Arabidopsis thaliana: one gene and its partners. The protein of the gene in region 3 interacts with the protein of the main gene of each other region in a pairwise test. Each region holds a gene or a part of one and is shown on either strand. Other genes may lie near its edges. The genes, in order: AT4G10080, AT5G15240 and KCO1.

Region 1 (5,001 bases), on a different chromosome or scaffold from region 3:
AAACTCAAAGAAATCTCTTTTTTTGAAAACTATAACCATAGAACATCATAAAAATCAAAACTTTAGTTTATAAGAAGCCAAAGAGACAGAAACACCTAAACCATCTTGAGCTTCATCTTCTAGCTTCGCTCGTTTAGCCTGAGAAGAATCAGATGTTTGATTGCTATCATCCACGATATTTCCATTAAGCTCAACTTCGTCGAGCTTTCGCTTGAGATCGACAGGCGGCGTAGAGATAACAACAAAATCTTCCTCCGTCATCTGGAAACGAATCGTCCGGCGAGGAATTTAGGGAAAGCTGAGTACTGTAGGGTTTGGGGAAGAAGAGAATTATCTCCGGCAGTGAAAAGAGTTTGGGTTGCGACTCTGAACGGTGGTGGAGAAGTAACGTTTAAGGCTTTAACGTCTATTTATAATGTTCGGGCTTTTATTGGGCCTAAAAATGGGCTACCAGTTTTTTTTTTAAAGTTATCAAAAATAATGATGTTTTCTTTGTTGATCGTCGAGGGGATGTTGTTGAGACGATAGCTTCTACTCAAATTTTGTAGAATCGACAACATAGTAGAAATTTGTAGGGTCTTTATTTCCATTGTAGTGGTTTTATCGACTTTGGACTATGTCCTCCTCTCTATAATAGTTTACAAGCTTGAAACCCCAATGAAATCCATAACAAAACCCACATATAGCTTATGAAATTCTTAAGATCAAACATAGAAAAAGGCTTACCAACTGGGATTTTCAGTCTCTGAACATACATAAATCGCTACGGTAATCACTCTGCAGTGTATCCCACGGTTGGGACACGACTCACATACGCGATTTCATAAGATGGTAAACTACTACTTATGCATAGGTACGACATAAACACATGTATTTGTATTCTTACGGTACATAAAGTGATGGACATTGTATGATTGATTCTCCACTGTGTCTAGGTATTGTAGAAAACGGCTTCTCATCTAAGGCTCAAAACCGGCCATGCGCCAGGCGATGGTAGAGCAGGGCGGATCACAGGGACCCTTCTTACCTCTGTGAACACTTCATTGAGTCGAGCAGCCTGACTCATCACCCGCGACGCCTTCTGCACAGATCATAAACAACCCAAGACGTGATAATGATAGAAGTAAACCAACACCAAACAAATACCAACCAAGCAAAGAGATGTGCGCTAAGGGAAAATATCAAATCACAGCATTTTCAGCGGATGATGCCTCAGTATTTTTGTACTTAATTCAGACAGATTACAAGAACATATTAACTACAAAATCTATATCTTAGAGGGGGGTATTGGACATAAATTCTAGATTTTCAGGTATAATAAAAGAATTTCGAATCTTTCTTCTCAATTCAAATAAATATTTTGCAGTATTTTTAATAGAATTCTACTAGAATTAAGAAGATAAATTACTGAAATCTTTTGTTCCACAATGCTCTTTATCGGGACAGCCACCATGCCCAATCTCTAAAAACTGTACTTTTTCCTTCACAAACCTCTTAACCCAGAAACAATCTACGTTGACGTTTACATGAAATGGAAGAGATCCATATTTTGACAACAACGACAACGACGTCATCACAACCTCCGCTCATCTGCTCTCTATAGATTAACGCACTCTCCTCATATATAATCGAACGAATGATGATCCGAAGAATAAACCGGATCGAAATCACAGATTCTAATAAATGTGTTAAACACTCTCCCTCAGATTTGAGAATTTTTTTTGTATGGTTGAAGCAAATCGATGAAAGAGAAAAAAAGGATGGATGTGTTATATTCTATCCAAATCTCAACTCAAAAACTCAGAATTTGTTCTTCACATTTTAGACCAATTTTTCTATTAAATTCTTGTGAAGTAACGTTGTCAAACAAAACTACCGAAAACTGAATAACACTTGCAACTAATAGAATTAAGAAATGAGCAAGTTAAATAACACAAGAATTTAAAAGAATTTGTGAAATGTCTAATTGAATAACACTAGAATTTAAGATTCTATTGAAGTCTATCAAATTCATGCGTCCAATACCCCCACCTTAATATAAGGCAGGACAAGACAAGAACTAAACTAAACTTGAAATTCTACGGCTCAAGTCAGACCAATTGCATCAACACAACATAGAGTGTAGCTAACTCCTAAAACGTATCAATCTAGACCAGCTTACCAACTTCAAGCAAAATGAAAACACAAGGGTCAATGATAATATAGTGTACCTTATCGTCAATCGTAACTTTAAGATGGAACCTTTGAGCTTTCTTCTTCATATTATACAATCTACGTCCCAAGAGAACCAAACCCATCACAGCAGCAGCCATAGAGACAGACCAAACCGGACCAATCCTAAACACAGAGTACTTAAGAAGCACAAATGGCATCTTCCACCACACAGTCTCTCTACTTTTACCCTCACCACCAGAACTCACGCCTCCAACTTCCACAGTATCTCCTCCACTTCCCTCAATTACTTCACTAGAAGCAACTACACTATCAGAAACAACTTCTTTTTCACCATTCACAACCCCAGAATCTCGAGAAACCAATTCATTTCCCCCTAAATCAGAACACAACTTGCTCGAATCCTCAATAGGTTCTTCAACACCCGATTCGTTCTCACCGTGCCTTCCATCAACGAATTCTTCGAGATTCTCTGTTTCATAGTGAGATACGGTTCCACCAGTTAATTCAGTAGCAGCTTCGCTCTCAACATATTTCTCATTGGCAGCTTCAAAATCACTAAGCCTAACCTCACCATCACCCAAAATTCCAGTTTCTGAATCATAAACCCCAAATTCATTTCTGACACAATCATCACCCGATTGACTAACACTGAACTGATCCAAACCAGAATCAACACTAACCTCACCCGGATTCAGACACTCCGACCCGTAATCAACCCGAAAAGAATCAAAATAACCCGATTCAATCACCCGATCAGTAGCAGAGAAATGATCAGAAAGAATCATACCGTCATCGATTACGCTTGAACTCTCTAATTTCGTCTCCGATGTGATTGAATCAGTTGATTCTGTATCAGAGCCATGATGAAGAAGCTCCCAATCATCCATGATGATCGAATTCGAAGATTTCAGATTGGGATTGCAATAATCAGAAACCCTAATGGATAAAACCCCAAATATTGGAAAAGGATCGCAACAAATTAGAGCGGTTGATGATGGAAAAGAATGGTTCTTATCCACTTTGAGAAAGTAATTACGTGGAGGTATCTAATTGGTTGCGTGTCAATCTCAGTCCTCAACTAAATTTTTTGGCATTAAAGTTTAGTAGATTCAGAGAACTATAGTATTTATTCATTTTGTTCTTTCATTTTTATTTTATTTTTTAAAACGATTTAATTAGGATTCGGCAATAAATCGTATGGTGCGGATCAAATGAATTAAACAAATATGTATCGGTTAAAATAGAGTAGACGATGTAAGAAAAATATATATAATCAAGATTCAAACGGTTGAGGTGGGTTTTGCAAATAAATCCATCGGTAGATTGAAATATTTTCTTATTTATTATTTATAGATTAGTATTTATAATAGTACTGACCAAAAATATAGAAAAAAAAAATCGGTAAAAACTTTAGACCGATTTTATATAGAAATAAATTTAGTTTATAACGGATTATTGTCCGCTCCAAAATTAAATGGTTTAGTCTCTAATAGTTTAGTTTGTTTCGAAAAGAATGGTTCTTATCCACTTTGAGGAAGTAGTTATGTAGAGGTATCTAATTGGTCACGTAACATTCTCAGTACTCAACTAGATCTTTTGACATTAAAGGTTGGTAGATTGAGAGAAGTATGGTATTTATTCCTTTTGTTCTTTCATTTTTTTGGTTTTTCACAATGATTTAATTAGGGTTCACGACGAATCGTATGGTGCAGATCAAATGAATTAATCAAATACTAGATGATTTACCCGAACTATGTACAGGGAGAAATAGTTATATGAAATATATAAACAAGTTTTTGGAAACAGATTTTATATTATCACTTGATATATAAGTGTGAATATTTGAATATGATTTAGTAACTGATATATTTTGGAGATTTTATTAGTTAGGAATTAGGATATTCTATATTTGGAATAAGATTTTAAATTAAAATATTGACCCAAAAGAAAATCTGAAATATCATTCCTATAATTCAGAAATATATTCGAATATTTTTTGTATTTTATAAGATTTTATTTTGGAAACAATTCAATATAAAAACTGAAAAGAGTATGAATAATTATGTTTTAAACGTAATAAATTTTTGATTATCTTTTATTATTCTTCATAATTCTATGTAGTTAGGATTGATTTATTGCATATCCCTTATTTTATTAATCAATTTATATTGTTACGATAAGGTTTTGGGTTGTAAATAAATTTTAACTAAAATGAGTAAATGACTAATTAAATTGAATAAACTGTGTAAAAGTTTTAATAAATTGATAAGGTAAAAATTTGAAAAGAAATAATATTGAAAGTAATCAGTAAGCGGATACATTTTTAACATAGATTAATATTGAAATATTGTTCATAGTGAATGTGTAATAAATGAAATGTTACTAACTAATTTATGTAAAACTATGTTCCGAATATATTCAAGAATCATATGGGCTCACATATACATTTAGATTTTTTGCAATTTATAACAAAAAAATAGAATGTCATATATGTTAAAATTCTAAATGTTTTCTATAAAACCTAAAAAAATAAAGTACGAAACATATAATAAACATTTATATTATATGTTGTTCATCATAATTTATGATATATACTTTTTACTTGTTTGCTCAAATATATATGGTTTTTTGATTAATTTTCTTTATTAATTGCTACTCTCTTAAATGTAGAGGAAAAATATGCATAAGTACCACTAATGGCATTATATGTAATTAGTCTAGTAAATATTGGATAACTATTAAGTTTGTTGAAAGTTTTTCTGGTTACGACATGTCAGCATGATAGTCTTGTAAATCACACGTGAATGTAAGGTTTTTTATTTAAAA
Region 2 (5,410 bases), about 18 Mb from region 3:
GTTACGTTGGTTCCTAGAGGTCAAGCACGTGGTCTCACGTGGTTCTTACCGGGAGAAGATCCGACATTGGTGTCTAAACAGCAATTGTTCGCTAGAATCGTCGGAGGACTCGGAGGCAGAGCCGCCGAAGATGTAATTTTTGGAGAACCGGAGATAACCACCGGCGCTGCCGGTGATCTCCAGCAAGTCACTGAGATAGCAAGACAGGTACAGTAATTGAAACAAAATTTTCATAAACCGGAAAAAAACGGTGGATTTTCTAATTATTCTTATGGTTCAGATGGTGACGATGTTTGGTATGTCGGAAATCGGTCCATGGGCACTAACCGACCCAGCGGTTAAGCAAAACGATGTGGTTCTACGGATGCTAGCGAGGAACTCAATGTCCGAGAAACTTGCGGAGGATATTGATTCTTGCGTGAAGAAAATAATCGGTGACGCTTACGAGGTTGCGAAAAAGCACGTGAGGAATAATAGAGAAGCTATAGACAAGCTTGTTGATGTTTTGTTGGAGAAAGAAACCTTAACGGGAGACGAGTTTCGAGCAATTCTGTCTGAGTATACTGATCAACCGTTAAATACCGATGGCGATGTAAGAATTCGAATCAATGACTTGATTAGTGTCTAATACAGACACCTAGATCAACTCATGTCTTCATTTAACGTATTCACATTTTTCTCATTCCAAATTATTACATAACTCAAAAAAACTTCGTTAACGAAAGTCACAAAAAATCAAATAAAACAAATTATGGTATTGGACTGTTGGTAGTACAAATATCTTCCTAAACAAATACTCTATAAGCTAAACTTCACCTATTGGGATTTCAAAATCGACCAAAAATGTCCTTGACCGCTTGGTAAGTTCCGGTTATCACAACCACGATACCGGTTAGAGTGATTCCGATGAGCACCAATGTTTCGAATCCGAGTCTTTGATATTTCCCAGAGATCTTTAAGTAACATAAACATGGCAATATAACCGATGCGGATGCGCTCAAGAATGCTCCCACAAGACTCATAAGATCACCAAAAAACGGAAGAAGCAATGCCACAATCACATTGCTAGTAACTAGTATTGTACTTAGCAAAAATCCAGAAGCTCTTTTATTAGGCAAAACTCGAGAAAACCGGCTTCTCATTGCGTCAATAATAGGTGTAACCATGAGAGCAAACTTAGCTATTGGGTTGACCAATGTAGTCCATATCGCCACTTTTGAACTAAGCTTATCAGTAGGAAGATTCAAAGTGATCTGTGATTCAACATCTGATCCATACATTAAGTAACCCAATACCGCCACTGATGCATATATGAAGGTGCATATTGTGAAACATATAATCATAACCTGAAAATGTTAAAAAAAATATGCAAAATTATTAGTGTGAGTTTTGGTCAAGAATAACCTAATGATCCGTTATGTAAAAAACTTACGTTTGAGAATTGGCGTTTGTTCTTCATGGAAGTGTATAGAGTTGGGAAAACTGGATGAGCGCAATAACAAAACGCGTATAAGCTCACCGAAGTAGCGACTCCATTAAGTCGAAAGACCTCTGAGTCATTGTTCTTGAACCCTACGCCTTCAAAAGCTCCAACCGAAAAGATAGAAGCAAGAATAACCCCGGAAGCAAAGACACCACTCGCGGAAACATAAGAAAGAATCCTCATATTGTCTAACCAAACCGAAGGAAGAATAATGAGAGCCACCATGATGATGAACATTTGCTTGCCTTGGAATTCAAGCCCCATGAAGTTGAGTCCAACGTTTGAGAAGAGTTTGTTAAGGTTGTCACCTTCTAGGATCAAGAAACTAGTTGCAACTAGGTAAAGCTCGAGGTTCATGAAGATGGAGACGATAACACGTCCTGTGTTTCCAAAGGCTTTGTAGCCAATGTCCGGGTATGATCTAAGAAGTGGATCCATTTCCATACATCTCTTAATGAGAATGGCACAGTAGAAAGTTGTGATCGCTACGGTGAAAAGTATGATCAAACTTAGCCATCCTCCGGATGCTAAGGCATAAGGGACCGATAATATACCCACACCTAAAAAAAAAAGAGTTGATCAGAAGAATGTCCAAGCCTAACGCATATGCTAATTAACGTTTTTTGTGTTAACTATTTACAAACGTTCTTTTTGTATATATGAAAACGCAAACGCAGTTTTTAATTGAAAACACAAACGCAAAGAAATATTCGTGGTCTCGTTACCAATAAGATAATATGATTTGATTTTATCAAAGTGGTTTGTAGTCTTGTAGAAGAAGAAGAACACAAATTGAAAAGGGAAGACGTGTTGTTAATGTGTTAAGGTTTTGTTCAGTGACACGTTGTATTTATATCTGAAAGATAATTGGAATTGCTGGTTTCTTTCTATTTAATTATATGGACTGTTTTTTGTTCGTATATGGTCTAGTTTGGTCTAGTTTGGTCAGACGTGTTTCCAGTATATAATTAGTTTTTTTAGTATAAACTAAGTATCTAGTTTGGTATATAAACAATTAAGTACAACGATAGCGGCCAGTTTGATAAACCCATTATTAGGCCATTACCACATTTAGCGAATAAATAATAGCAATAGTCATTGAAAACTTTGCCGAATTGTTAATACTATAGTGTTAAATTCAGTTAAACGGAACCATCCTAACCTTTAATAGTCAGAACAAAAATGATTTGGTTATTTAGCACTATTGTTTATCAAAGACTATGAAACTGAATCTAGACGAAGAAAAACACAATTCAGTCTAAGTAGAACTGGTTTTAACTTGGTTATGATAAATTATCAACAGAAAAATTAAATAACTAAAAAAACTGAGGCAAGACTAGGAGGTAAAGAAACAAAATGTAGGATTGAAATACACACCAATCTAGATGATACAAGATAAAGTCAAAAGCTTGAGTTAAAAACATGCATCTATAGAAATTAAGTACAATAAAGCTAATTATAGTTTTTTCTAGATTATTTTGAAAATTAAGATATATCCTATCCATATATGTGGACATGCTAAGAGTTGGATCTTTCCCCGTGAGTTATGGAGTTTGGAGATAAGAAGAAGTGGTGAATAAATCAAAAAGAAAAAATCAATCACGAAAATGAAAATAGAAAAAAAAAAAAAGAAGAAGAAGAGGAAATTAAACCTGATAAGGCGTTAATGCCATGGAAACAAGTCTTGGAGAAAGAAGTATTGCCCTGTGGATTATAATCATCAAGCAATGATTCTTCATCATCAATCTTCTTAACGATAAATGGCTCCGACATGTAATCTTTGTCCTCGCTCATACTTGTTTAGTCTTTGACTCTGCTCTTTGGATATCGAAGAGACAAAGAGAGAGAGACGGAGAGATCGAGAGACGAAGGAAATAGATAGAGAGAAGTTGGAACTTGGAAGTAAACAATAAAGAAACCCTCAAAAGGCAATATATATAGTGTTAATACATTTACTAGGGTCAATGTTTTTAAATTACATCAATTATTAGAGCTGATTTTTATGCAGTATCCATGCACATATGATATCTACACGATATTAGCGTGGCAGTGGAATTCTATTTAATGTTTATTGACCAATTAAATATTCGTGGATGGGGTTTTTAGAAACTAATTGAAATTTAAGTGCAACTCTTTATATAGAAAAAAATTATAACCACTTACACACAAATCTACCATAATTTGCGATTTGTGTGGTTCTAGAATTTAATGTTAGTTGTATAAGAAAATTGGTAGGAAGAGAGAAAATAAAACTCCACGAAGTTTTCCACTTTAATGTTAGGGCGTTTAACTTAGGTGATAGAGAGAATGCAAGTACCAAATCCTCTTTCGGTGAAGACTGAAGAGGGATCAAATTTTCATAAAAATACATGGTCCAAAGTAGTATATCATGTCAATAATCTGTTGGACGAGACTGGAGCACTTGAAAAATCGTCACATATTTTTTTGTTGTCGTTTGTTAAAAATAGTTGACAAGTGAATCCCCAGACCTAAAGAGTAGATAAGTATGAATAGCCTTGATCTGACGTAAATCAATATCTTGACGCTAGTTTACAGTTATGTTCTACAAGGTGCCGAGTAGTTCTAACAATAATGAAAATATCGACATATATATCTATATATTTTCGTTACTATTAAAACCATACTGCAAATTTTTTACAGTTATCCAATATGTTTTCATTCAGAAATCGAAACCAAAAACTTTTATAGGTTACAAAATGAGTTCTTTAGAAAAGAAGAATACTCATTGCCGGCCATTTCCCCATGTTGTGCTTGTGAAAAAATAGCATGCACATGTTGATAAAAAAAAAAAGTATCTTCTTCAAGATCACCATTCAAAATGCATGTGAGATGTCTAACAAAGAGAGCTAAATTGAGCTTTGTTGTTAATGCTAATAACTATAGTTGTACTCCAAACCTCATATTTCTTGTCGATTAATGTCAATATATAAGGCATTATTAAGAGTATTTATTGATACGTAGGGTAATGAACGGGTAAAACGTTTATAAGTTTGTGGTTCATATCATTGCACCGATTGTAAAATATCGTTGTCGTTATTTATTTCCAACTGCCCAAAGCCCAAGTCTTGTATAAAAGAAGATTGCGGCAAAAAGCAATCGCGTTAGAACACGTGATTTTGTAAAAAGCTTGGAAAAATCAATAATGGGCTTTTTAGTACTGGGCCGAGAGACCCAATGTCACTCTTTTCTACATATGCATACTTCTTTCGCAGGAATTTTTTAAATTGTATTATTTGGTTTGCCTTACCCTTTATAGTATTACTATTTTCGAAATGGAAAATATCTTTTTTTTTGGTGGATGAATGGGAAAATATCTTTAGAAACACAAGTATTCATGAAAAATATCATTCATAGGGCCACTCTCATTTTTTTTAGGATTTAGAACAAAATCCGAAAAGGAGTGACATAACATTACAACATTAGGAATAAAGTAGATAAAACATTGATCAAAGGAAATTTAGTTATAGTTGAAAATTTTTATTATAAAAAGGGAACGAAGGGAGATTTTTTCAAGGGCATTTTGGTCCACCCTCTTGAGTTTTCCAGTTGTTGTAGCAGGAGCAAACTTGTTTGTTCCCATAGTAACCCGGAGGCACACAGAGACACTTCCTGCAGCATTTGTTGCAGAACGTAATGCAAGCCTTGTGGTACTGTGTCTTTTTACACCTCCTATCACATTCCGATGGGCATTCTGGTTGTTTCAAATACAAACAATATCAAAATGTTAACACTCAAAAATTTTTTATTACTAATAAAAACAACAGAATCTAGTGGAAATTCATTAGCTTTTTTTTTTACTGTTTTGTGGGTCTCAAGATAGTGGGTTGCTTTGACTGTATGACCATATTAAGGGGCAATTTCGTCAATATCTAATATATTTTGAGTCTACGGATCTGACCAAACAGT
Region 3 (4,134 bases):
TTCTTCTCCTAAGGTTAGTGATTGATTTCTTACGTACAAGACAAGTTTCAAAAAAATGTTGTTAACTCTTTATCTCTCATTGTATGATTTTGTAGAGTAAAGCTGAAGAAAACATCTACTTAGGACCACATGGAGCTCCTCCTTCGCAGCTACAAGATGGTGGTAGTAACACATCGAGCCGCAAGCAGCGGTTTAAGCAGATGCTCAAGGAAGCAGATCAGAAAATGAGCGGCTCTGGTCGAGAAAACAAAATGGCTAACTTAAGAGAGCTTGTAGGCGGGGGTGCAGGTGCAGAGAAAGGAACTAATATGGGAAAAGGTGTTTCAAGAGACTGGCTTGACCCTCATTGCCATGAATCTCAGTTCGAGAAACGACGACTTCCATAACGCGAGAAACCGCTATCTTTTGAAAATGTTTTGTATCAATCAAAATACCAAAAAAGTTTAAAGCAATAAAACAGTCTTCATACCCTGTCCTTTGAGAGAATCATCCATGAATTCTTGGTCATGGAGCATAACACTAGAGAGCTTCATATGTATAGATGTATGTAAAATTATACACTCAGCATCAAGAAACGATCAAAGAGTTAGAGTGTGGCATTACATTACAAACACAAACAGGAAAAAACAAACAAAATTTCGAAAAACTGTTCACTCTCTTCGGCTTTTTGTTGTGTGAAGGTATAACTAAACAAAGATTCTGATTCGTCTTCGCAAGATGATGATGATGATGAGGCTTACCTTTGAATCTGAGACGTGGTCTGAGCTAAAACGATGTCAGAAGTCGTGAGAGTTCCTGATTCATCGTAATCAAGTTGCTCGAACTCATCCATTATCCCAGAAATATCTTTCTCATCAATCTTACCCATTTCTTTCAGTTTATACACAATAAACTCTGCAGCTCTGCAACACACAATAGACAAAAAAAAAAGAATAAGAAGAGGAAGAAGGAAACAGAAGATAGAATATGTCTGATGTCTTTCTTACCCAACAACTCCATCTTCATCGAGATCAGCTGCTTCGAGATCATTGTTTGTGATTCTTCGCGTTAAAACCCATTTCACCAACGCCCTCTGTTTGTTTTCTGTATTTAGCTCAGCTACATAAAGGAAAAACTGAGCCAAACATATGCTGCTCGTCAAGATCCAAAACACAGCAAAAAGGCGTCCGGCTTCCGAGTTAAAGCTCTTATCTCCATAACCCAATGTTGTAACCGTGGAGCAGACGCAGTAGAAAGCTGAGATAACCGGCATTTTCTCAACCATTACAAGGAAAATCGTGCCAACAATGAAGAGGACTACAAGGACAAGGCATGTAGCATAGCATTTGTATCTCAACTTGTTAGTATGCAACTCCTTGAGAATGTCTGTTGGACCAAAGCTTTGACGCAAATGGAAAGCCCTAACGAGCAAAGCCTCTTGTTTCTCCACTAGATAATCCGCCGCTCGACTTAAGAGGTGACCAACGAGGACCATTCCCGAGAAGACGAAGGCACAAGCAAGTAGCCTTGAGGCGGAACTATTAGGGACAAGGTCACCGTATCCAACAGTTGTCATCGTTACTATACAGAAATAGAGAGCATCTACCACACCACTGGTTTTATGACCGGAGATCTGGTCTCTCACGAGGTAGAAACAGAGCGTACCAATGGTAAGATATAAAGCCAAGAACATGATCACTCGCCTGAGATTCGGGTTTAGATCACTGAACATTGGGATTTTACTCGGATGAGGAGGTGGTTCGTCGATTTTGACATCATCATTGTACATACAATCACCACGAGGAGCACTTCTAGAGCGACGCAATCTTCGTTTTCTTGAAGAAGAAGTTCTTGAGTTCAGGTTGAAATCTTGAGCCATGGTATCTATCTTCTCAGTGGGTAACAATGGCGTACGAGCTGCATCACTCGACATTTCTAGACTCAAACCAGATTAACTATGAGATCTGCACAGAACAATCAAATCTCATGTTTATGTTACGAAAACCATCGCCAAAATTGACATCTCCTGTTCTGAGAAATGAACATATGTATCAAAAAATTTGAATTTCGTAACAGAAACTTGTCAGAACTTAGATACAGATTTTGAGTTATAGCTAAAGATTAGACCTTTAGACAATGAAAAGATGAGTTTTGTGAGAGTAATCAATCAGACACAGAACACGAACTGAAGGAGGAAGAAGAATTGAGACATACCCAGGAAAGTAAGATCGAAATCAAAAGAAGCGGTGTTGTCGGATCTCGCAATTGGTCTTCATTGATGATGTTCTCACAGTTGGCCAATTCTTGTTTTTATTTTATTTTAATTATCTTCTTTTTTTTTGGTCAAAATTTATTCTCTTCAAATCCGATAATTTTGTTTTTATGATCTTCTTCATTTTCTTGATAGGATTTTTCATTAGTATCTTAGTATAAAAATGTTTTGTTTTGTTTTTTAAATGTTTTTTTTCATATAGAAGAATGTATGTAATGTCTTAATTTTCTAGTTAGTTTTCTATCCTTCTGTTTTTTTTTTGTGCAAATCTAGTAATTAGTTTTATATTATACACTCATAATCACAAGTAATGTACAAGCCAATAAGCCAAAATATCCAGCATGACGTCATGTTTAATCTATATCATACAATAATCTATATGTTTTATGTTAATGTCAATATGTTAAGATTTTTATAAGTCGATAAATCACATTTTTTTAGTGTTATACATGACATCAAAGATGTTATTAATGCACTCATATGATACATATATATGTGAAGAATTGCATACTTCAAAACATCCCCACACACAAAGAAATATAACACACACTAGTATTTGACATAGTTCTAAAACATTACTAAGTGATTGATATACATGGTAATTTGACATAATTTTAAAAACATTCAACCACTCGAGTATAGGCTCATTGATATGCATGTGGAGAGCGATATAAGATCATTCAACACCAACATAGACCATCTAAAGCTGATCAGGCCAGAGAAATGATTCAATTGCAAAAACCCTCTTGTCTTCAAGAGATCCTTCAAAGGAGAATCCATATTGTTTGAGGAGCAAGTCAAGGCGGAGATCATCCATAACTTCGTAATCAGACTTGGAGTATTTAGGGTAGTGAAGAGGGACTTGGAATCCACTTGGGAATTCTTCTTTCTTCATCATCTTTATAATTTTGTTGCGGGTGCTTTGGCAGTTGCTGGCTTGATCCATATGGTTCGAGTAGCCGAACATTTGGGTGAAAGCCGATGTAAAGAGCAATTTCATTTCCATTGTCTTGGTTGATTTTAAGATTTTATACAAAAAAGGAAAGAAAACGAAGGTTTGAAATAGAGAGAAAGAGTAGAGAAGAAGAAGAAAGAGAAGCAAGGAAGCTTAAGACAAAATACCAAAAAAGGAGAAGCTTGAGACAAACTCTAAGGCAAGCTCGATGTTTGGTTATAGTAAAGGCGACCAAAGACTAGTATATATATAGAGGCAGGCAGGTAGGTCAGTAAGACAATTATTATTTGTCTTTTCGACATGATAATCGTCATTTGAATTTTATTTTTATCATCAAACTATAGTATGTAATATAAGATGTACTAGAAATTATTTGTTTTTGTTTTTTTAATTAAACAAAAGTATGATTATAACGAGTAGTTCTTGTTCTAAACCAAACCAGTAAACCTTTTTCCTTTTAATGAAAAAAAAGTATGATCATAAATAACAAAATGTGAGAACGACGGCTGTGAGCTACATGCACCAGGAAACGCATCGGCCAATGATGGTTCATGCATTCATGCACTCATTATCTTAGGTGGGGACAAGTATAAAACAGTTGTGGTGTGCAAGGAGAAAGTAGGTGAAAGTATTTAATATTTATATTAACTAAAAATAACATACTATGTTTTTGAGGTTATATGAGTTTTGGTCTTTCTTTTTAATTTAAAACCATTTTTATTGGCATTTTTTGCGGAATACCTTGTATATTCTAGGAAAAAACACTTTTTATATAAAACAGTTAAGATTATGATATAATTAACAAATTTTTAATAAAGAGAGAAATTAAGAAAGAAGAAGAAAAATGGCCATGATAAATACAGTAGTTGGTTTTACTATTCGGTTGGTGATCCTTTTGTTCATTTTGATAGGTATGAATCTCACCAAC

The links.
Region 1: the proteins of KCO1 (region 3) and AT4G10080 interact in a protein complementation assay, tested with the Arabidopsis thaliana proteins (one large-scale study listed by BioGRID).
Region 2: the proteins of KCO1 (region 3) and AT5G15240 interact in a protein complementation assay, tested with the Arabidopsis thaliana proteins (one large-scale study listed by BioGRID).

What each region holds. Positions count from the first base shown.
Region 1 is NC_003075.7:6,299,499-6,304,499, forward strand, and holds AT4G10080 (uncharacterized protein), read right to left. Parts: upstream 3,247-5,001; 5' UTR 3,063-3,246; coding exon 2,211-3,062; intron 1,082-2,210; coding exon 956-1,081; 3' UTR 521-955; downstream 1-520. Other genes in the region: AT4G10070 (KH domain-containing protein), read right to left, coding at 96-261.
Region 2 is NC_003076.8:4,945,629-4,951,038, reverse strand, and holds AT5G15240 (Transmembrane amino acid transporter family protein), read right to left. Parts: upstream 3,463-5,410; 5' UTR 3,278-3,462; coding exon 3,136-3,277; intron 2,465-3,135; exon of another isoform or gene 2,044-2,464; coding exon 1,433-2,043; intron 1,347-1,432; coding exon 828-1,346; 3' UTR 629-827; downstream 1-628. Other genes in the region: FTSH6 (FTSH protease 6), read left to right, coding at 1-207, 281-628; GASA4 (GAST1 protein homolog 4), read right to left, coding at 5,014-5,195.
Region 3 is NC_003076.8:22,529,496-22,533,629, reverse strand, and holds KCO1 (Outward rectifying potassium channel protein), read right to left. Parts: upstream 2,273-4,134; 5' UTR 2,194-2,272; exon of another isoform or gene 1,944-2,193; 5' UTR 1,913-1,943; coding exon 987-1,912; intron 903-986; coding exon 737-902; 3' UTR 508-736; downstream 1-507. Other genes in the region: AT5G55640 (Na-translocating NADH-quinone reductase subunit A), read left to right, coding at 1-13, 96-386; AT5G55620 (uncharacterized protein), read right to left, coding at 2,952-3,257. UniProt on the Arabidopsis thaliana protein: Voltage-independent, large conductance and potassium-selective tonoplast ion channel. Regulated by cytoplasmic calcium and pH. Does not mediate slow-vacuolar (SV) ionic currents, but essential to establish VK currents.